2 linked regions of the Oreochromis niloticus genome follow. The protein of the gene in region 1 binds, or shares a complex with, the protein of each later gene. Links are inferred from orthologs where the notes say so. Each region holds a gene or a part of one and is shown on either strand. Other genes may lie near its edges. The genes, in order: tent4b and zcchc7.

Region 1 (10,574 bases):
GACATTCATGGTGACGTACCAGAATACCCTCTAATATTGCGTGTTGTTAGGGTTGTTCTAGTGTACCAGTATAAAGATTCATCTGTGGTAAACCATTTATTTATCAGACAAACACAGTTTTACACTTATTCCTTCAGGAGCAACACCCTTGAACTGGGTTTTAATGCTCACTGCACCGCAAGAAACGTGCAGCTGGACATAGTGGAATGCATCTGTAGGATTATTTTTCTTTGTGGCAGGCGGCTGAACCCAGACTGGGTGATAAGAGTGCTAAAAGGCATTGTTTTAGTAGGATGTTGAGTCACATGGCTGATTGTTTTTGTCCAGAGGGGGAAGGAGGAGCTGAGGGAGGCAACGGCCTTGCTGACAGCCCAGCAAACGTCCTTGGAGATCATCGTCAACATGTGCTGCTCTGACGGTGAGTGGTGTGGCCACGGACAGCCATGCTGACCCCAGGCATTTTTCGTCAAATATATTTCCTATGACACAGTCACCAACTATGTGTTTGTCTATCGGATAAGCTATTATAGCGAGAAATGCTCACAAATGTCTCATTTGAGAATCTAGAAAAAACATCTTCATGGTTAATTTCTCTAATTAACTCTGTGTGTGCACATGTTAAGACCCTTCTGATGACGAGTGGGAGGAGGAATCAAGCAGTGATGAAAGCGACATGGGTCCCGATGGCCTTTGTGATGGAGTGTCCAATCTGATGTCTCCATTGTGCTTGTCAGCTGAAGTTCAAGGGGCTTTGATCAACCACAGCATACCACAAAAGGCAAATGACAGTCTGCTTCTTCAGTCACACCTTAGCCAGTTCATCACCAAAGCTTTGACGCGCTTGTGAATGTTGTTAAGCTGTCATTTTAGCTTGCATTGCTGTAATTACAAACTTCAGATTAGATTGATTATGTGGTGAACCTCACCCATCTTCTCCCAGAGGCTGAATGGATTGAGTTATTTGTGCAGTTTCATAGAGAACTCACTTTCACATACAGTTTATATGCACCTACGCAGCCACTCCCAAATGTAAAAGGCCTGTCATAATTTTGTTTTTTCCTGTTTTAAGGTTCTGAAGAAGACAGAGTTCCCTAAAAAGGAAACTGTGGATTTGTGCCATCAAAATCCCTCCTGGAGAGGCCTGATAAAAAAGTAATCCTCCTCTCTTCTTCCATTAATCTTCACTGTCTGAGTATAACCATCTTTATTCTTTCTCATTTATAAATTTTAAATTTTTAAATAAAAAGTCACACCTTCTTTTTAGGATGGAGCGTGTTCAATCCCGGGCACTGACTTGCCTCCACAGTATCCTCTCCACCATGGATGCAGAGTCTTTGGGTGGTGCGACAGCCCTGCAGGAAGCAGCACAGCATCTCTCCTCTCTGGTCTTTGGTGCCCCAGGTCTCACATTAATAAAACTTCTTCTGCAGTATTATAGTACCATTTGTTATTTTTCTATTTTAAAGAATGCAACAAAAAAAAGGGAGTATGCATTTGTGAGAATGGAAACTACAAATCGAAACTACATTTGTTTCTTTCAGAGATTCCCAAAGATGAGGAGTTTCTAGAGGCTGTCATCAGCGCCATGCGATCTCTTTTACAGATGATTGCCTCCAAAAATATCCCACAGGTAGATAAGACGCCACTATTTAAATAAACAACTAAATCAGTTTTGGTGATTACAAAAAGAGGTCAAAGTCCGTGCAGCCGAGGTCGAGATATCCCGACTTTTAGCCGCTAGCTGAGGGTAAATGATAAAAATGCTTGATTCTACATTTCCCTGTGCCTAATTACATAGTCTTTGTTGTCATGGCTGCAGAACACATGACAGGAGTGTACAGGTTGAATAATACTCCACATGTTAGTTCTGTCTTTTGTAACTGCATAAAAACCGACCTGAATATAAAATTTCCGCCTTGAACTGAACTTTAAAATCCACTGCCACGTCACACTTGCTTCTGTTGACCGTTTTTCTTCCTGACAGCTCAGTATCTATGCGTTTGGCTTTTGTTTTTGCTAGTGTATGACCCCCCAGCAGCTGATGAGCTTGAGCGAAACGGCCACCCGCTGTGATGTTGTCAGTGTGAGGGTCAACGCCGTCGCCATTCTTGGCATCACTGGCAGCACATTAGCCAAAGAGAAGGGCACTGCAGAAACCCTCCAGGTATCTCTTTCTCTCGTTTATTCTTTTGGAAAAGTTGTTCTTCCTCAAAGAACCTCTTCTTCCACAGATGATCGGAAATGCGTTGCTTCAAGTTGCCACAAGGGATCCTGAACTCGTTGTAAATGGAGAAGCCCTTGACGCTTTGTTTGATGTGTTTGCGGATGGAGAGGAGGCAGAGACGGCTGCAAAAAACATCAGTTTACTGCCTGCACTGAAGGCACTACAGCCTGTCTTCAAGACCAAGGTACCAAAGATAAATTCATCTTTAGTGATCTGTGTGCTTGATAATTTTTCAATATTTTTTCAGCTATGCTTTTTTTTCCTGGAAATATACCTAGCACATTTATTTTTGTCTTATCTCGCCACTACATTGTGCGAATTCTCCTTTGAATAACAATTCTTTTGTTTTTTGTTTTTTTTCCACTACCAGATTCGTAAAGAAGGAAAAGGCAAATACAGCCCTCAGCAGCTGTGTGTGCTGGATAACATCAGAGTGAACCTGAGAAGATTTATTGGTTATCTGGAGAAGGTGTTGAAAAAATGAGGACTATAAAAGCCTGTTTGGTTTGGACAAATATGCTAGCAGGAGCATAGAACGAGACAGAATATGGTTGTGAAACCATCAAGTATTTATGTTTATATTCTTTAAATGATGGTTTACTGTTTGTGTGCAGAGCGAAGGGAATGTAATAACCGTTATTGTATGCTGGAGTCGGCAGTTTTTTTTCCCCACTTAAATTTAACTCAAAACAATTTTGAGACTGAGTTTGTGTTTTCATGTCTGATTGAAACATTTTTTTAAAGATCAGGTGTGGGATCTGACACCAACTTTTCTTATGGGCATCCTTCTTTGAATCCATCTGGATATGCATTGTACTTTGAAATTCTAAGTTGTTGTTTTTTTCCAATGAAGACACTGGTCTGCATACACGTTTTTTCAGTAATAGAAGGAGATTGGTGGTAAATTTTGTAGATTTTTTTTAATCTTTCAGTAACATTATACACAGATCTGAACTGTCTAAATCCCAGCATTGTCTGTTTCGATCATAATGTGGATATCATTATACGTGACTGGCAAAAATTCACGTAAAGCTTGTTAGCTTTTCTTGCAGTGGTTTCTTAGACTTTTTCAACAAAATATCCATAAACTTGCAGTTTATTTCAGTAAAAAATGAAATTAATGTGTGAAGATGTCACCAGGCTGTGAAGGAATAGCCTTTTTGAAATAAACCCTGATTTTTTTCTCAGTGTTCTTCTTTTGCATTATGTGAACCATTTCAGGAATCTTTCCATGACCTTCCAAATACAAACTGGTGGAACCACTGAGATAATTTATCTCAATCTCAATTAATTTATCTTCATAAGGTGTTGGACTGCTTCAATATATACTGGCATGTTGCCTGCAAATCTCTGGAAATCTACTGAAGGGACTAAACATGCTTTCAAAATATTTTCCCTCATGTTGTGTTTTGATGATGGTGGTTGAGAGCATAGCCTTGTTGGTCCTAAATCACTCATAGGTGTTCAGATGACTTGAGATCTAATGACTACAAAACCCCCACAGCATGTGACTCGCATCATTTTCCTACTCAACAAACCATTCAGCCTACCCCCTTGTTCCACATGGAGCATACGTGGGTGGGAAGTATGGTGGATGCTGACTGAGCAATTTACTGACCTTAAACAATATTCATAGTATGTTGCAACAGCTACCTTGTCTCTCTCCATAACTGCAAAATATTCAAAGACCAGCATATCATATATTTTTAAGTATTGGAATTGATCAATAAAATGCTGAAAAAGTGTGTTGCTTTTGGGAATTTGAAAACTAAGTATGGGAACTTTGTATAAGATTTGAGATTTTGTAGAATCATTTATTAGATTAGCTGAAAAAAAACGTGAATAATGACTTTTAATTACCTGGTTAGAAGTTTATATTGCATCTTCATCTGTAAGCTGTTAAATCATGGTTTGTATTGTTGTGAACTATATTTACTCTGCATGAGTGTTGTTTCAAAGTTTCGGATGTTCAGTGGTACTTAAACACTCTGGGTGATTATTGCTGCCCTGCCTCAAAATATAAAATATCTGCTGATTTCCAGAAAAAAACATTACCTTGTTCAATTCAGTTAAAAAATGCCTATAAAAATATTCAGTCTCATAGTTTTGTCAAAAAAAGCAAATCAATTTTTCTTCACTTATGGCCTGTTTGTGCTCATTGTATTTCAGCTTCTCCAACACAATTTGTATATTTGCATAGCCTTCTTTTAATTGCACAGAATGACCAATTGACCAGAATGGCTATTATGCAGCAGGATACATTTTAAGATGGCTTTTGACCTCTCAGTTAAGTGATCCTATCACTGATCCTAGACCAAAGTAACCCAGCTGCTTCCTTCAGCAGATTCAAATCTTGTACATATATGTACAAAATGACCAGGTGACAAATAAGCCACTAGAATCTTCAAAATCATTAGAATGTTGTGGCTCTGGAGGAAAAAAACCCCATCAGACTCTTCCCTCTCATTACCTGAGCCAATAAAAATGGAATGTGGTATTTAATCTGAAGGATGTACAGGTCTCATTACTGATGCCTGGTTAAGGTAAACAATAAATTATTTTGTTTTGGAACTGTATCTAGAAATATATTGATTAAACTGAAGTGGCAGTTATCAAAGTGTTTTTGTGGCTCCCTTGATTAGACTGGAATACCAAAACACAAGTCTTTTCTCTTTCCCTTAATCCATGCTCTTGACACACACCCAGCAAACTGAATGAGATGCCTATGGCTTATCTTGGTCACCCACTGTCATCCTAAAATGAACAAAGTATGCCTTTTTCATTAAATCTTTGATGTTTCGTCAATGTTTGGATGTAGTGGAGCATATAAATAGAAAACCCCCCCATCTTTTCATATCATATTTACAATTGCCACTTGTGAAATAACATGACTGTAGAGCAAATTGAGTATGAATTTCGACATCAGCAACCCCAAATTAATAAAGTGCTTTCATACAGCAAGTGGGATGCTAGACAGTGTATTGGTATTAGTACAAGTCTACTTTGCTCGAAGTGTCTGTTTTTACTACAGAATGGATGAATGAATTAGAGGTTATTTTCTTTTGCATTATTTTAAAAATGTGCAATTAATGGTAAGAAAAGGCAGTATCAAAGAAAATCCAGGGTGTCTGTTACATTCAGCATAATTTATTTTAAAAAAGCAAGGCTCTCAATAAGGTTTTGTTTCGTACGTATGCTAAGATGTAAGTTAATAATAAGGAGTAGGAAGGCTGTTTTTTTTTCTTGAAAATTTTTCCCCTCTCAATTTAACATTTTACAAGATAAATAATTCTATATTAAACATTAGTTTCTTTTCAGTTTTTTCCCGACGGAAATATTAAAATCATCAAATATGTCCCGAGTTTCTCCTCCCAAAGTTGGTTTAATTATTTGTTTTTATCTTCAAATTAACTTAATTGAGCGTGTTATTTATGCACTATATATCACGCGTTTCCCACGTTTTCTCCCATTATAATCATCAAATAAGGAGAATCAGACGTTATTATGTAACAAAAAAAATAGTCGTCTGTTGCGTAACAACACTGCCCGCCCCCTTTTCACTCGCTCCGCGCATGCGAAGTACAGATATACAAGCCGCCATTGAGGGACCCACGATCTGGAGGAAAGGGTCAGAGAGGTACTTCTACCAGCGGTGCCTGCACGTTTTTCCAGTCTTCTGCTACAACTTTGGCTTCAGCTACCGTTTTTAATACTTGACTTAAGCTCTTGATTTATTCGCTGTGGATGTTTTTGCGTCGAAAACTGTCTTCATCGTTACTACAAGGGAGCCTGTTGTTTTTCTTTCTTTTTTCTTTTTTTTTTTTTTAAAGTAGATTCTAGAAGTAACGGGCAGCAGCTATAACGAGGCTACAGCAGGCTAGCTAACGTTAGCCAGCGACCTGGCTAGCTGCACACGAGCTGAGCATTGCTCGGTGGTGGCGGGGGGGCGGTTTGCCTACAGTGTCATTTGATGGATCCGAGGATCGCCTGGTTCCAACCAGAACAACGTGGACCCGCTAACAACCTGTGGATGCAGATTTGGGAGATGACACAGAGAATTAGCTACTTGTACGTGAATAACAGCTACACTACTGTATCGAGCCCAAAAGCTAACGTTAACGGGGTGTCGGGAGCCGTCGTCGCGGAAGGAAACGAGGCACCCGATACAAAAAGCAGCGGCATCGGAGAAGCCAAGACTCAGGGGATGTCGGCCCCGATGGGGGATGGAGAATTGACAGTACAGGGGGACTTTATACCACTTGAAACTAACAGCAACCACAACAGCCGAGTCTTTGGTACGGGCGGTGTCGGTGGAGGAGGGCAGCAACAGCAAGGCAGCGGGGTCGCTGTGAGCGGAGTCACGGACGGACAGCCCCCCAAAAGAAAAAGGGACAACAAAGCTAGCACTTTCGGATTCAGTGTCATCTTGAACGGTGACAATAAAGAATATGTTGGTTACACGGGCACGCCATGGAAAGAAAGGAACTACTCAGAGGGAATTATAGGGTAAGAAAGAGTTTAATGAAGATGGAAAAGAGAGAACCTTTATAAATTATTTTACTGTATTGGACCCCTTAATGAGGGTGTGAATGTGTAACCCCAAGTAGGTGTTCACCTGCAGTATTTTATTTATTTATTTAAAGCCTAACTTGAACACTTGCATGCTGAGATGATTGAGGCTGTAAGATCCCATCCCCACCCACTTTGTCAGCTCCACCTATCGTGTTGGGCAACCATGTGCAATGTGTGTAATTGCATTAAGGCTCACTTGAGCATAACATTAAATACTTTTGGTTGAAAGGCACCTTATTTAAGACTATTATATAAGGTTATGAAAAGGTGCTGTAGTGAGAATTCGTGTGGTGAGAGTGGTGTGAGTTCACATGTCTTGGACAAAATCATATGGTATGTCCTTTGCAGTCCAGAGTTAAAAGAAAAAAGTTTGATAGTGCTCTCTGCCAATATCACGAAACACCAAAATAAGGAAGTATATTGTGGAAGAATGGCTTTTTATCCCTCCAAAGTTGCAGAGACTTAAGAGAGTCGGTGTTAAGCTCTATGGTTTGCATATCGATGATCAGTTCCTTGTTACAGTCTCATTATTATTTGGATTCTACGTGGTTCTGGATAAATATTCAACACCATATGAGCCTCTGTAGTATTTAGAACGTTATAGTGATCATTTAGGGTTAAGTGATGAGTGTACCCAGTCTTGTTCTTATACGTACTCATTACTGTTGCTGGGTAAAGTTCATGTTTGCGTTCACCAACAACTTTAGGCGAAAGTGGGGAGGGAAAAAACTCCTTTAATAGAAATGAACCTTTGGAAGAACCAGACCACTTCAACTGATTATAAGGAGAGGGAAGCAAAGAGAAGGAAAATGGAGAAATGACAAACAGTACAATAAAAAGTCAGTAAGTTGGTGGGGGTCAGTAACTGCAGATCAAAAGCCTTCTGCTCTTGAGCCAAACACACCTGCAGTACAAGGAGAAAGAGAGGACAAACAGTTAATGGCATTCAATGCTGGTGTACAAATGCTCAGAGGGTGAGAGATATGACAGAGGACAAATGGCAAAGGTAAAGAATAACATCATGACACTGACAAATACAAGGTGAAGGAATGCAAATCAGCTCGAAACAGGTTTGCTAACCTGGGCTGATGGTAGATCAGATCTGCTGTATGGATGCTATACTACGATTGTTATTGGCCTTTTAGTCAGTGTCACTGTGGATTTCTATTAGCCTGCGCAGTGTGAACATAAGTGCTGTTAGTCTGTGGACAGCTAAGGAATGTTTGTAGCCCCCTTTAAGGAATTAAATTATTTTCCTGTTATTTCTAGCCAATAACAGCTGTGTATTTTAACACAGAGTGCACTGTGAAAGAAAAAGAAAATGCATGTTAAAAGAATTTTTGACAGTGGTGTTTGTCCAGCACTTATGGGTGGTCAACATGGTTATAGCATTGTTATGGCAATCAGTCTGTTTCCCTGCTTACAAACAAACCCTGCATAAAATCTGGTTGTATTTGAAATATTTATTATAGTCCTAATGCTTTTCCTTTGGAGAGGGGTCAAAAACTCTTTGGGTGCCAAAATTATTCATATGCAAAGGAAAAAATACTGGAGTTTAATGCTAACTTCAGCAGTTATTTGGTTCATAATTTCCACAAAGCAGATTCTGGCAGCTACTAAACTATACGATCACTTCATTTGAGAGACTCTCACTTGATTTACTGAGAATGAGATTTGATTCCGTAGAGGGCATGCACGTTTAAATTGCAGGGCTTATATTGTTACTCCTACTACATTTAGTCTTCTAGTATTAGTCTACAGTATTGAACTACATGATACAATGAGAGAAGAGGGCCTATATGAACTTTTTGGCTTTTTCTTTTCATTCTTGTCATTTGTTTCTTTTAGATGTGATCACTGTGGGGAAATATTTTGGTGGGTGGGGCTCTGTTTTAATATTCTTTTTTTTTTTTTTAAAGGGCAGAAGTTTGTCTCTTTCCCCACCCCTTTCTGTTAGGCAAGTGCAGACAAGCAGAACACCCTAGTGTGGAGTTTAGTCTTTGGCTGATTCTCATTTATAGTAATATTGTAGCCCTGTGTTTGCTTAAGGACATTCCTTAGTGATTAGCTTGGCTAATACCAAAACCTGAACCTCAGAGTCAGAATCAAACTTAAACCACCACGGAAGGCTTTCTGTTTAACCATACTGTAGTTAATCACAGGGCCAATGTGATGTATGGCAGTACAGTAAATGTATTTCAAAGTGAACATGTGCAGAACTACTGTATATGTGAATGGTTCATTGTTAAATATCCCTTGTTATACATGTTTTGTTGCTAGGGAGTTGTAGCCTGGAAGCACACTAATGCAACACCTTGAGTCAGACAGATGGAATATACTTTAAATCAGTGGCTTTAAAAAGCACTGCTGTCATGGGTGCTAGCATTAATGGTCATGTTGTTCATGTGATCAGTATCTTGTGGCTGATTGGTTCTTGCTTAAAAAGACTAAAATTTTCTACTGTTTTTGACTGTGATAAAGATGTAGTTGCCTGGGATTTCAAAGACCTCGTCCTATTTTATTTATGTCATGTGCACATTTCTCGATTTGGCTGGGATTTTGGATGTGATACAACCACTGGTTGCTAGGGGAAAAATGTGTATTCCCCAACTGATTGGCAAGTTCCTGTGTGTCGCTAGGTGAAATTGGTTTCACCAATTTCTTTCTTTTTTTTTTTTTTCTTTTTTTTTTTCTTTGGTAAATTCATTTTTTTGCTTGGAGCTAACTCTAAGTCCAGAAATAGTAAAACTTGAGAGGGTACGATGGTAAACTGGAAATGGAGAATGCTTGCCTTCACAGCAAAAGCTCTGTATTTTGCAAAATGTTGGTTACACCACTGAGGCACAGCTTTTACTTTGAAGGTGAACCCTCTTCATGTTCAGTTTGCGTCACAGTTTCACTACAGCTTGGAGAGTAGCTGGACAGTGTTTCTTAGACAATCAGTTATTCCCATTCAAAGTACAACTGTAGCAATATGTCACCAAAGCAATCACAAGGCTGTTATTTAACCAACTGGGTGGGAAATACACTTTTCCCTAGCAACAAGTGGTTGCCAAGGGGCTAGCTGGCTAGTCTTTAGGCGTGCATGGGTGGGGATTTTAGTAATAATTTTCCCAGCAACTGCACTCAACCTTTAGCAACCACATGCAACCACATGCCTTATTCACGTGATCCTACATTGTCACTATGACAAAATGGTGTAGAAGTTATTGCCATGTGATCTGTGGACATGAGTCTGCAAAACATCAATTGAAGTTGATGAGGTAATGACCCTCTGTCTTGAACTTTTTCAACAATTTGAATTTATAGGCTCAGTCACCAGTTTTGGTTCACAGTAAGACTGACCCTAAGTCTATTCTCATAAAAATTGGGTAATTCTAAAGATCATACCCAAGCCATGCTCATTGGTTAACCACATCTCCACCTGCACTTTTAGCGGGATGATGTTAAGTTTTGCTGAATTGAATTATGGATTTGTTGCGTTGCTTGCTGAGCTTGCAGCGAAAAGTTGAGTAGAATTCGTCTTGTCAAGTGCTGTTACAGGTGTTAGCCAACCAGATGAGCTTTATTCAAATCATCTGGTGTGGCTTTGGTCAGTCAAATCAGGTTATTAAAATATACTGAGAATGAAGTGATTGCACTTCTAGTTTGATGAACTGTAGGTGAAATGAATCCTTGTGGAGAGTCATCACCCTGTCTGTTAACAAATTTATTAGCATGCAAGCTAGCTTGTCTCAGTCCAAGATTCATTGTTGTACCTTTATAAGTTGCTGTTGCT
Region 2 (11,024 bases), on another chromosome or scaffold:
CACTTTACTGCATTTCCCATCAACTGTAGCAGAGAGGAAGGCATCAGAAATAGAAAGTAGAAGTACCTTAAAATGTACTCAAGTGTTCATTAAAATATTTTGTCTAACTTTAGAGTGAACTACATTTACATTTCAAAAGAAAATTCAACAAGACACACCTAACTTTACCTGATAATGATGTTTTGTTTGCTACCTAAATGTTATTCTTCAGTCCAAAGCCTCACATTCAAATCAGCACTGTATTTTTTCATATTTAAAAATGAAAGGGACAGAACTATTTAAAAGCCTACTTATATCTTATATACTTCTTCATTTTACAAAAAAGAAAAAAATTAAAAATTGTGGTTTTCCTGCTTTTTATATTTGTTAATCCTTCCTTAAATTCTGGAGTATTCAGTAACTTTTGTTTTTCAGCAATGTTATATGAATAAGTCTCACTCAGGGTTTCTAACTTAAAGTGTATCAGGTATGGCTTAAAAAAATACTCCCTCTGATCCACTTATATGTTACATTTCTTTACAGTAAATCAGAGAAACCTAATACCGACAGTCTTGAAAAAAAAAAACAACTTACCTCTGGTGCTCATTGTTTTCCTAGAAATACTCAGAGCCACAGTGCTGATTGAGCTTACCTCTGTATCCCTGGGATTTAATTCAGAGTGGCACTTCACTGTGGCGACACAAGGTTCCCTTTCTGCGGCCATGGTGCCTGGGTGTTGTTGTGGCTATAGAGGCTAGAAAGGGGGCTTAAGGGCTGCAGGGCGGATTGAGAAATGGGACACATTATTTGTCCATGAAACATTATGTGACACAACATGACACCAGGCCATTTGTATGTAAAGGTAAACATTTCAGCGTGACAATTCGACAAGAGCGGACAAGGCTCCTGTCAATGTGGTTTTATACTTGCAGCTGAGAAAGAGGTGTTGTGGCATCGTGTGGTGATGAAGTGTGTATGTGGGACTTTGTGTGTGTGTGTAGAGCTTGTGTTCACAAATTTAATCCCCATAGACACAAGTCACTTGGTCTGGCCTGAGAAGGTGTTGTCAGGCTTGCTCTCTCGTTTTTTTTTTCCTATTGAAAGCATGGACAGACTGTTGATCACAGAGCTTCACAAAAACAGTTTCCTCTGGGTGTGCACACAAGCGTGTGTGTGTTTCACCTGTACTTGACATGCATTCAATATGATAAAAGATCATCGTCAGAGAATCGTAATAATGCAGGTTAGATTTTAAGCAGCAACCTAAAACACATAAACCCTAAAGCATCCCGGTGGCATTGCTCTGGATCTTGATGGCTTGTTGTCTCTTAAATTAAGAGATAGTTTAGTTGTGAGCCCTGATCAGATGCATTGTACTTTCTGGTGTCAACAGAGTGTCCAGTCACTGTGTTCAGTATTGTAAAACAACTCATTTTAAATGAATTTAGCATCATATCATGAAGTACTTTAAGTGTCAGGTTTGTCATTTCATCCATATGGCCCAGGCATAATATGAGGTCATTTGTGGCTGATCTGTGTTACAAATTCCATGTCTGAAGAGAGGTTTGGAGATCAAGCTTGCTAAACTTTGAGTAGAACTGAGAAAACAAAGAAATATTCTCTTACATGGTACAAAATTACAAGCAATACCCCAGTGACGAGTTATCATTCCCCTCTGGTTGTGCTTTATCATTTGTTCCTTCCTGCCTGTGAGCTTTGCCACTGATTAGTACATGCTCTACTTGGCATATTAACTCCAGAATCTACTGAATCTCTCTAATACACCACCAGTTTCTTATCCCGCAAAGCTATTTGATGCTGCAGTGTCTCTTAGAATTAATGAGAATGTAACACCTGCGTTAATGTGACCAAAAAGATCAAACCTTGACTGAGGTGACAGATACGATAGACTGCATGCGATGCAGTGAAAAAAAACCCAGTGATGATGGGGCTTATACATTCTGCATATCCAGAATATGTGAATGACTTCAGCACTGAGGGCCCCATATGGGTGATGCACGGGAGCCATTTTTGTTCAGAAGCGCTGATCCAGGGAGAGCCTTTTTTTTTTTAAGGGAATTCCTTCTGCCCGGCTGCTTCGATACAGACCGGACGGTTGAATTTACATATATACAGTAACAAGAAAGCATGTGCCAACAGTAGAAAGGGAAGCAGACCTCTTTTAGAGAACTGAAACGAGCTGATGCAACCAGTTATGGATGGAGTAAACATCTGAGCAGATGCTGGACGTGTTTTTGAAACACCTTACTATTACTTCTAGATCTCCAGCTATTAGTTTCCTTTTTCAATACAAATCAGCTCCACAACTGTTTGGCTGTTATATTTAGAATTTTTTTGAAAACCTCTATAAACATTAAATGTGAAGCAAGAAGGTAAATGCAGAACATTTAAATTTGGAATGGATGCCCATCGTGTTCTTTTTTGAGAGAATGAGTGCACTTCCAGATGAATCTCTTAAACCCCAGTTTAGCTTTTTGGGGCTTGTTTTTGTTTTGTTTTTTTGATTTTACAGTTTGACTTGCACAAAATATCTCTCAAAATTAAAAAGCTGGGAGAGTGTAGGGCTAAAATTGGTCATATTATTTTGAGACACCTTTACTTATCACAAGGCCAGGATTAAGTCAAGCTCACCTTCACCTGCTTTTAAAATTAGAGAGTGACATCAGCTCGACAATGAGCCACTAAAGACTTATGCTGATGTTGTTATTGAACCTGTTCTGATCAAAAATTCTTAACTTGAGGTGCACCGAATTTGTAGAAAAAAATGTGAGGTTTAATAAAAGACAGGTTCCTGTTGGAGATACTCCATTGGTGGGATTCCGAACCTGCTGTTGAGAATAAAATGTTTTTTGCTTTGTTAAAATATTCTGCTCTCTCTGGCCAACAGCAATATCTATCACAAACAAATTGACATGCATATTTCAAAACCAGTGACATTTCTTTGTTTTTCATTCGGACTTAAATAGTTGCCAACCATTGTCCTCACAACTGATTATTAATTGTATGCTTACTCTCGGGTAAGCATATTCCATGGTTTCTCATAATGCAGTCAGAAGCTAGAGGTCAGATTTTTGCCAGAGAAAGCAAGTGTTCCACTGCATTTTGTACAGGTTCTTCAAATCACAACTGCAGACAAAAAGAACAGAATTGGGGCTTTTTTTTGTCGTCAGAAACACACTTTAGTACAAAAATGACTATCAGCTGTAGAATATCGCCTTTACACCAGAGCGGCTGACAAGAATCCAGTTTTGATAAAACATTCCGGAGAAAGCTTTTCCACGTCGTCCGATGCCAAATGGAAAGAAGGGGCCGCTATGGAACATACAAACACCACCAAATGAGAGCAATGACATGCTTCTTTTAACTTCTTCTCTTCAATAAAGATCATTCATCAGGCAGAACCATCCCTTCTGGAATGTGTGATTGGAAATGAGGGGACTTTAAATCCCTCTCCCGGACACTCCATCCATCTTCAACACGCCACTGGTCTGGGCACCACTGGCCTGGAGATGAATCGCTGAACCAGATGCCTCCATTCAGCCGATCTCTTCTACCTTCATTTAAAATAATAACAGTAAATACCACCAAATGCGTAGAACCCAAAATCAGGCGGTCACATCACAATTTCACTGGGGCAGTCAGGCATCTCGGACCTGCATCCAATTTAGAGAGATACAGGGAGGCAGAGGAAGCAGAGGGTCCCACGCCCCCCCATATGCACCTCCTAAAAACAAAACAGATGCACGACATTAAGTATGCACCCGTGTGTATGCACAGGTGTGTGTATGTGTGTGTCAGAGGTATATATGGACTAGAAAAGGTGATAGTGTTGTGACATGAGGTATAGACTAACCTTTGGAAGGAAACAATCCAACTCTGTGATGGCCTTTCCTGTGATGACACGCATGGAGAAACCTCAGGAATCAGATGGCATTCACCCTCTGATTCCCTATCATAAGGCCATTCTCTCACCATTATTATGATGGCGACGTTTATAGCAGGATATACAGAGCTCGTAATTATTCTCATGCTATGGAGGCGAGGGAGAGGGAGATGGATGTTAATGTTACACAGCTTGCACAAGAGCCAGGATGGCATAATTTTGCTGTATTCTACGTGTCATAAATATGACTGATGGCGATACCCAGTCTGTTGAATTACATTTACATATAGATTTACATTCCCATCAACATGTAATAAAGGCACAGGCCTGAAGGTTCATACTAGTCACTCACACATTCATGCTCACACCCAGTGAACATACCTACATATTCAGAGGATTTACAGCTGATATTTGGACCTTACTGTAGATGTATACATCAAAGAAATGATGCAGTAAAAAAACATATAGGGCCCTGAGGGATGTTTTGTCTGCAGAAACAATATTTGTGGAAGTAGAGCAGTCTGGCTGACTTCAGTGTCAAGTTTGACAATTAAAAGTTTAGCAGAGGAGGTTCGCTTTCATGAATCACAAAGAAAATCCACCTTAAGTACGCAAGACTTGAATACTAACTGTTGATGATGCAGATCTCTTACTTTGTTGACAGTTTTGGACAATTTGTCTTTGTCAGCAAAAAGCTGGAAGCAAATGAGAGGAAATGGGTAGGTTCCTCATTTGGACTTAAACCAAATGAGTATCTCCATTCCCTTGGCTGCCAGCACACTAACAAACTATTTAAACCAGTGGTTTCATATGATGATGCTTATCAGTTAAAGTAAGAAAGAAAATATTAATGAAGCCTACCTGCACAAGCAAACAACCTACAAACAACAACAACAATCTTTTTTTCTTCTGTTACCTTGGGGTATATGAGGGATAATGACCTTCAGATCTTTTGAGATAAACACATTTTCATTTCATCTTTTCTTCATTGAATCAATGTTGGAATTTTAATAAGAAAATGAATTTTTAGTTGAATTGTTCTAAAAGAAATCCAAATCAAAGAAGAATAATCTCCTTTTATATCAGAATAGGCTATCATAAGCAGGGTGCCACCGGGGGGGGGATGCAGAGGGGCACTGGCCACAGCCCCACACTCACACACACACACACACACACACATACACACACACACACACACTATATATAAGGCAGGGAAGACTGTCCTATATTGGTAATAATGTAATAATGTTACAGAAACGCTTGAGCCAATCCCTGGACACATCACTGGTGGATCTCAGGGCCAACACAGAAAAAGACAACAGTTCACACTCTAACATGATCTAATATTTATTTGAGAATCATTAAAGCGGTGGTTGGGACTTCCAGTCAATCAATCATTCAAGACAGATTATTATGGAATTCAAAGTCTTCTTTGGTTTTCATATAAACCTTTTTTTGGTGATATCAACTTTAATAGCAGGAAATTAACCAGGCATATAATTATTTTCCTTCTCTTTTCATTGCAATATTTTTGAGTAACTTATACAGCATTATAAAACAGGAAATTCTGTTTTTGGTGTGCCACCCCAATATTTTTAGTGGACCGCATATGGCCAACCCTTTGAAAACATTTTGGAGGCACCCCAATCATAAAATGAAAACATAGATAAGGAAAAACCAAAACTAAATGTACAAGCAGGACTTGAAAAAACAGTGCATATCTGTGTCTCTATATAATTAATTATAATTCACTATAGTAATTTAGTAAAAAAAACATTTTACGAAATATAGTTTTTAAAAATTTGCTGCTTTAAATTGTAAATGTTGTGTTTGTGAAATGCTGTATTTTATTATTTTGTCTCTGTCTCTTTTTTGTTTAGTAAGTTGCGTTTTTTCGTCGTTCTTTTTTTGCTCTAAAAACCCCCATAATTGTTCTACCTACAATACTGACACGACACAGGCTTGTCAGTTGTTAGTAATGAAAAAAAACGCCAAAAATACTTCTTTTAGGTAAAGGGGAGAAAACGAGCGAAATACGGTCTCAAATAACTATTTATAGAATAAAGGCTCTTCTTCTTGGTATCCTGTAAAAAAATTAGCTGTGTTGGGGAAATCATGACCTTTCAGTGTCCGAGATGCACTTTGTTTCAACACTCATAACAGTAACCGTCTTCTTCGCATTCGAAGTGAAATGTTACGGTCGGCCAACTTATTTTCCTCGGACAAACCCGGAAGTTGTTTGTCTGTCTCCTGGCTGGAGGCGCAGGAAAAGCAGCTCCAGCCTCCGGTAGCAGTACTTTTCCAGTTTGTTTCCAAAGGTGAGCTCATACACACTGACATTATATATTAAGCACACACAGTGGTGGCCTTGAGTAGGGCTGCCTCAGCTCCTTGTATTTATGTTCTTTCATGTGTGTTTGAGGCTGAAACGCTCCGTTGTTTACATCCGAGCAGTTGCTCTGCTGCTTAGAAACACGTGGATGGAGTGGAGTGAGACATGCCAACCAGGGACTGCCAGTACGCTAAAATAACTTTTAAAAGCCCGTGCTTAGCGAAAAATTCCCAGCTACCTGTATTTTATGGCGTGTTACTGTTTAGTGAAGCCTCGGTACTCTGATAAACAGCTAGCATGTTCCCCAGTAAGCTAGCTCGTTAGCTTTGAGCTAGCCGGGCTTACCATTAGGCTAACTACACAGAGTACACAGTTATAAAACTGAAGTTTCTGTTTGTCACTGCAGTGTAACCAGGCTGCTGGATGTCCGAGATGTCAGCCTGTCACTCTAGTCTGTTTTTGGCAACCTAACTCAAGTCAAATGACTGCGTGGATGTTATAAACTGCACATCGCAACCTTAGCATAATCACACATTCACTAAAATAAAGAAACATTTATGTATAATCAAAAGGCGACATTACACAGAGTGGCACCAGTTTTGTGCAAAAGGCGACTTCTGATGTTTGTGTGTATGTTTTAAACTTGTTTTTTTTTTCTTAAATTGTTAAATAAACTCTACTCAACAGGATTCGTGGAGGGGTTATATATAAAATAAATAAATGACCTGTTTTTAAAGTATTTTTATGACTGTGTAATTGCACCTCCATTAAAATCAATCCACTCCTTTTTGGTCACTAGATATATCTTTTGTAACTGTGATGTTCTACAAAACTGTGATGTTTACTGGGATACATAAATGATATCTAAAAGTTGCTTTGTCAGATTCTCATTGCATCTTCTACATTATGGCAGGGAAGTTCTGGCTTAAAATTACTTATTATCATTCATGAAAGATATGTTTCACATAATTTTCACAACTTACAGGCCAATAAGTCATTTACAACAGGTTAAATATGGGCAATCATTTTTTGGTAGACACTAGAAATCACTTTTTGGGAGATGATCACTCTTTTGCATGGCACTGGTTAAAAAGTGAATATCTAGCAAAACATTGTCTAGTATTCAAACTGCTGACCTGTAATATGTCAGACATATCTTGCTTGAATGATATCAAGGTATTTTGCGCCTATTTTGCGCCAGAAGTGCCATATAAAGTTATAAGTGGCCAAAATGGATGGTATTGGTTATAATGTAGAACACAGACTATGTACAAAACGCAGAATCTTAAGGACACTTGTCTTTATTTTATCTATTACTCCCTTCAAAAATCATTCTGAAGACAGCTTATGTACCAATGTAAGAAAAAGATATCAGACATAAAACACACAGAAACATAAGAAATCACTTTTGACATAACTCGTTCAATGCCTGGCTGATACTGATTTTTACAGATTGATACTGATTTTTAAAGATTGCAGTGGGTGGTATGGTGGTGCAGTGTTACTTGTTGCCTCACAGCAAGAAGGTCGTAGGTTTGAATGAAGTCTGGAGCTTTTCTGTGTAGAGTTGGCATGCCTGCCTCGCAGCCTGTGACAGCTTAGTTAGTTTCCAGCCCTCTTGCAACCCTGAAGAAAATAGGAGGATGGATGGATCTATTCCAATGTCAGTATATCAGCCAATATGTTTTTGGATAGCATGAAGTACTGCAAAAGTGTTATATGTAATGTAGTCACCAGTCCTTAGCTGGGCAAACTACATGCGGAGACCATTTAGTTACATCAAGTTAATCCAAGCATCTTATAGGCCATTATCCTCCAACCAATACATTAATAGATTATTATTGGTTCAATAGAGTTTGTCCATTCTTTTAGTATTGCAAGTATAAGATGGCCTCCTAATTATTAAGATGATTATGTGCTTTGAAGAATTGTGCTCTGAATGATACAAGACAAGATCAGTGAAGTTGATTCAATGTTTTTTTTGTTTTTTTGTTTTCTTGAAACATAAAATGTACTTTTCTTAACTGCTCATCCACCTCAGGTGGATCCCAGCTGTCTGGAAACCTTTCTGTCATGTCTGTAGGGACAAATGACCATTCACGCTCACGGTCACCTCTCTGGACAATTTAGAATCACCAGTTAACCTAACATTCCTGAATTTTACTTAAAGCTTCTCAGATACATGCACATTCACAATTGAGCAATATGAAGGTGTTTTCTGTTCCTATGATTAGTTAAATCTCACAGCTATGAAGTAAATTTTCAGAGTTCCCAGTTCACTTTTTTTTTTTTTTTTTTTTAACCAAAGCTACAGATAAATTAAACCTTGTATTTCCTGTTTCGGTGTAAACCCATAGGGACTCATGTGTGAATATGCACAGCTGGCTAATAGAAACGTCAGTGCTTGATATTTGTTGATCTCTAAATTCATTGTGTCCTAATGCAGCATTTGTAAAACACATTTCAGCTGCATTCATAGGTCTTATCCGTGCAACAGTTATGCTAAAGTTTGTTTAAATTTTTCGATTTAGCTAAATGTCCACACTAAGAAGACGAGTACAGCTTGCTGCATTCTATTCTAACTGCGTTTTATTCTAACTGTCTGATCTATATTAAATCAGACATTTAGACTGTGAGCAGGATCATGATTAGGATTGAAACTGAAGTAACTAAATAGAATTTAGACACCTTTGCATCTTGCCTGTTGTTTTTTTCTTCACTTTTTTTTCCTGGCATGTCCAAAAGTTTTCTGTGGAAAACCCCTCTTTGGTTTTGGTGAAGCTGAGTTGCTTCACCAAAACAGATGCAATGGAGCTAACAGAGTCCAGGGGTGTTGTTCGGGTAGCATTTTAATTGAGAAGATTAGGAGGAATCACCTGTGTTGTCAGACCATGACTGTACCCGACCTTTAAGTACAGTACATTAAATTCCACTACTGTAAAACACAGTCCGTCATTTGTCGGGTCCCAGCCCCTGTGAGCTGCTGAAACTTTCAACACAACGGTCGCCCCTCACCAACCGGTAAGATTTTCTGTCCCTTTAATCCCTTGTGGCCGGCTTGTGACCGTGTAGCGTGGCGTTTATGCAGTGTGTGTGCGGCCTGGGAGCCAATCATCTCCAGCCATCATGGCACAGACACGCAGGACTGGACAGAGCAATGGGCCGGTGCCCCTTCTCTGTCCACTTTCTGCATGTGTGTGAGTGTGTGTGTTAGAAAAAGGCAGACAAGCACTGGAAAAATTAACAACACAGTGCGGTAACCAGCTAATTCAACAGTTTTTTTGGTGTCACGTTAAGTGTTATTTGAAGTCGTCACCTGGCAGGTAAAAAAGTTGGATCCTGTTTGCTTGAGCCAATGAACACAGCTCCGATGGAAAAAAGTCTGCGTGTTAAAAAAATAAATAAATAAAAAAAGTCTGAGTGCTCTTGAGCTGTGTCCACTCAGCTTTCTTAACAAGGCCTCATGGTTTTCAGAGTAAGACAGAAGTTTCCTGTAATTGATGTTGGCCTGTTTCTCCTTCAGTTCGACAGTGCTGTGGATACACGGCAGATAACTTAAGAGAGGAAAATGACGACAGCACAATTCTGGTAATAATGTAGGGCTACTAATTAGTCTTGTATAGTGGACCTGACGTGGTTGATCAGTGTTAAATATTTGAAGGGTGAGATATAAAAATTTCATGTGCACAGATTTAAAAAAAAAAAAAAAAGAAATTCTAAACATTGCTAGAATTGGATTGGTATTGATGATATCAGGCAAAATGAAAACTTAATAAGTTTGATTTTTTTTTTTAATTTAATTTTGAATCTTTTGAAAAACATGCTCAGTTAAGGGAAAGGTTGGTTGCAGCAGAGGAGCACATCTTTTTCTAAAATTAACAAATGTACACTATTATGACACTAGTAAAACCACATTTTGCTATTTGTGCCTTCTGGTTGTGATGTTCCCGTATAAATCACCGAGCAGGTGAATCTGAATCCAAAGTGATGCTTTGCAAAGAGCCACGCATAAAGAGCTGCTGGTTGGTGAGCTGTTATGATTGCCTACCTAAAGCTGGTTTATGTTGGTGATGGTAGCCAGTGTTAGCAGTTTAGAAATTAATTGTTAAAAAAAGTGAAGTTTCCCACGCGTAAGAATTTCTTTTGTTTTTTACTTGCATAATAGAAAACTCTTTGATTTTTTTTTTAATTGTGGGTTGAGTAGATTAAGCCTTTTATTTCTTTGAGCTTTGGGAAATGTGAAAAGAATTTGATTGACTCATCTTTACAAACTAAATGATAATAATTAGTGGTCAATAATTGTAGGCTGTTTAATTAAAAGTAAACTGGCTGTTTCTTCTTCTTTGTCCAACTATAACACAGCAGTGTATTAATAATTTATAATTTGATGCTTGATATTGAGTTAGACAATGTGATGCTATATTATGTTGATTTTGTGTGCTTTTCAGCCACTGAAGTCGCCATCTCCGCAGGTGTGTGCATGTGGTTGTGAGGATGTACAGTGTCTACCAGGACCAGGAGAGATTGGAGGATGATCTCTATCAAGAGGAAGAAGAGGACTCTGATGGGTCAGAGGCCAACAGTGAGGTGGAGTTCCACCTTTATAGCCAGCTCCACTACTCATCCAACCCTGGGGAACTAGAGGAGCAGGAGGGTGAAGAAGAGCAGAACCATGAAAGAGAGGACACCCGGCAGAATAAGGTTACAGATGGTGATAGAGGACTAGAGGAAAAAACAGGCATCAAGGCTCTGACACCTACTAATGGCAGCCTGCAGCAACACCTGAAGCAGAAGAAGAAGAAAGAGAAA

What was found.
Region 2: tent4b (region 1) and zcchc7 share a complex: the UniProt entries of both Homo sapiens proteins name them as parts of the nucleolar TRAMP-like complex. The link is inferred for Oreochromis niloticus from reciprocal best matches to the Homo sapiens genes TENT4B and ZCCHC7.

The regions. Positions count from the first base shown.
Region 1 is NC_031965.2:31,684,019-31,694,592, reverse strand, and holds the start of tent4b (terminal nucleotidyltransferase 4B), read left to right. Parts: upstream 1-5,806; 5' UTR 5,807-6,194; coding exon 6,195-6,730; intron 6,731-10,574. Other genes in the region: heatr3 (HEAT repeat-containing protein 3), read left to right, coding at 328-418, 624-778, 1,070-1,152, 1,265-1,401, 1,542-1,630, 2,021-2,164, 2,232-2,408, 2,595-2,708. UniProt on the Homo sapiens protein: Terminal nucleotidyltransferase that catalyzes preferentially the transfer of ATP and GTP on RNA 3' poly(A) tail creating a heterogeneous 3' poly(A) tail leading to mRNAs stabilization by protecting mRNAs from active deadenylation.
Region 2 is NC_031971.2:22,407,846-22,418,869, reverse strand, and holds the start of zcchc7 (zinc finger CCHC domain-containing protein 7), read left to right. Parts: upstream 1-6,043; 5' UTR 6,044-6,201; intron 6,202-9,738; exon of another isoform or gene 9,739-9,803; intron 9,804-10,663; 5' UTR 10,664-10,709; coding exon 10,710-11,024.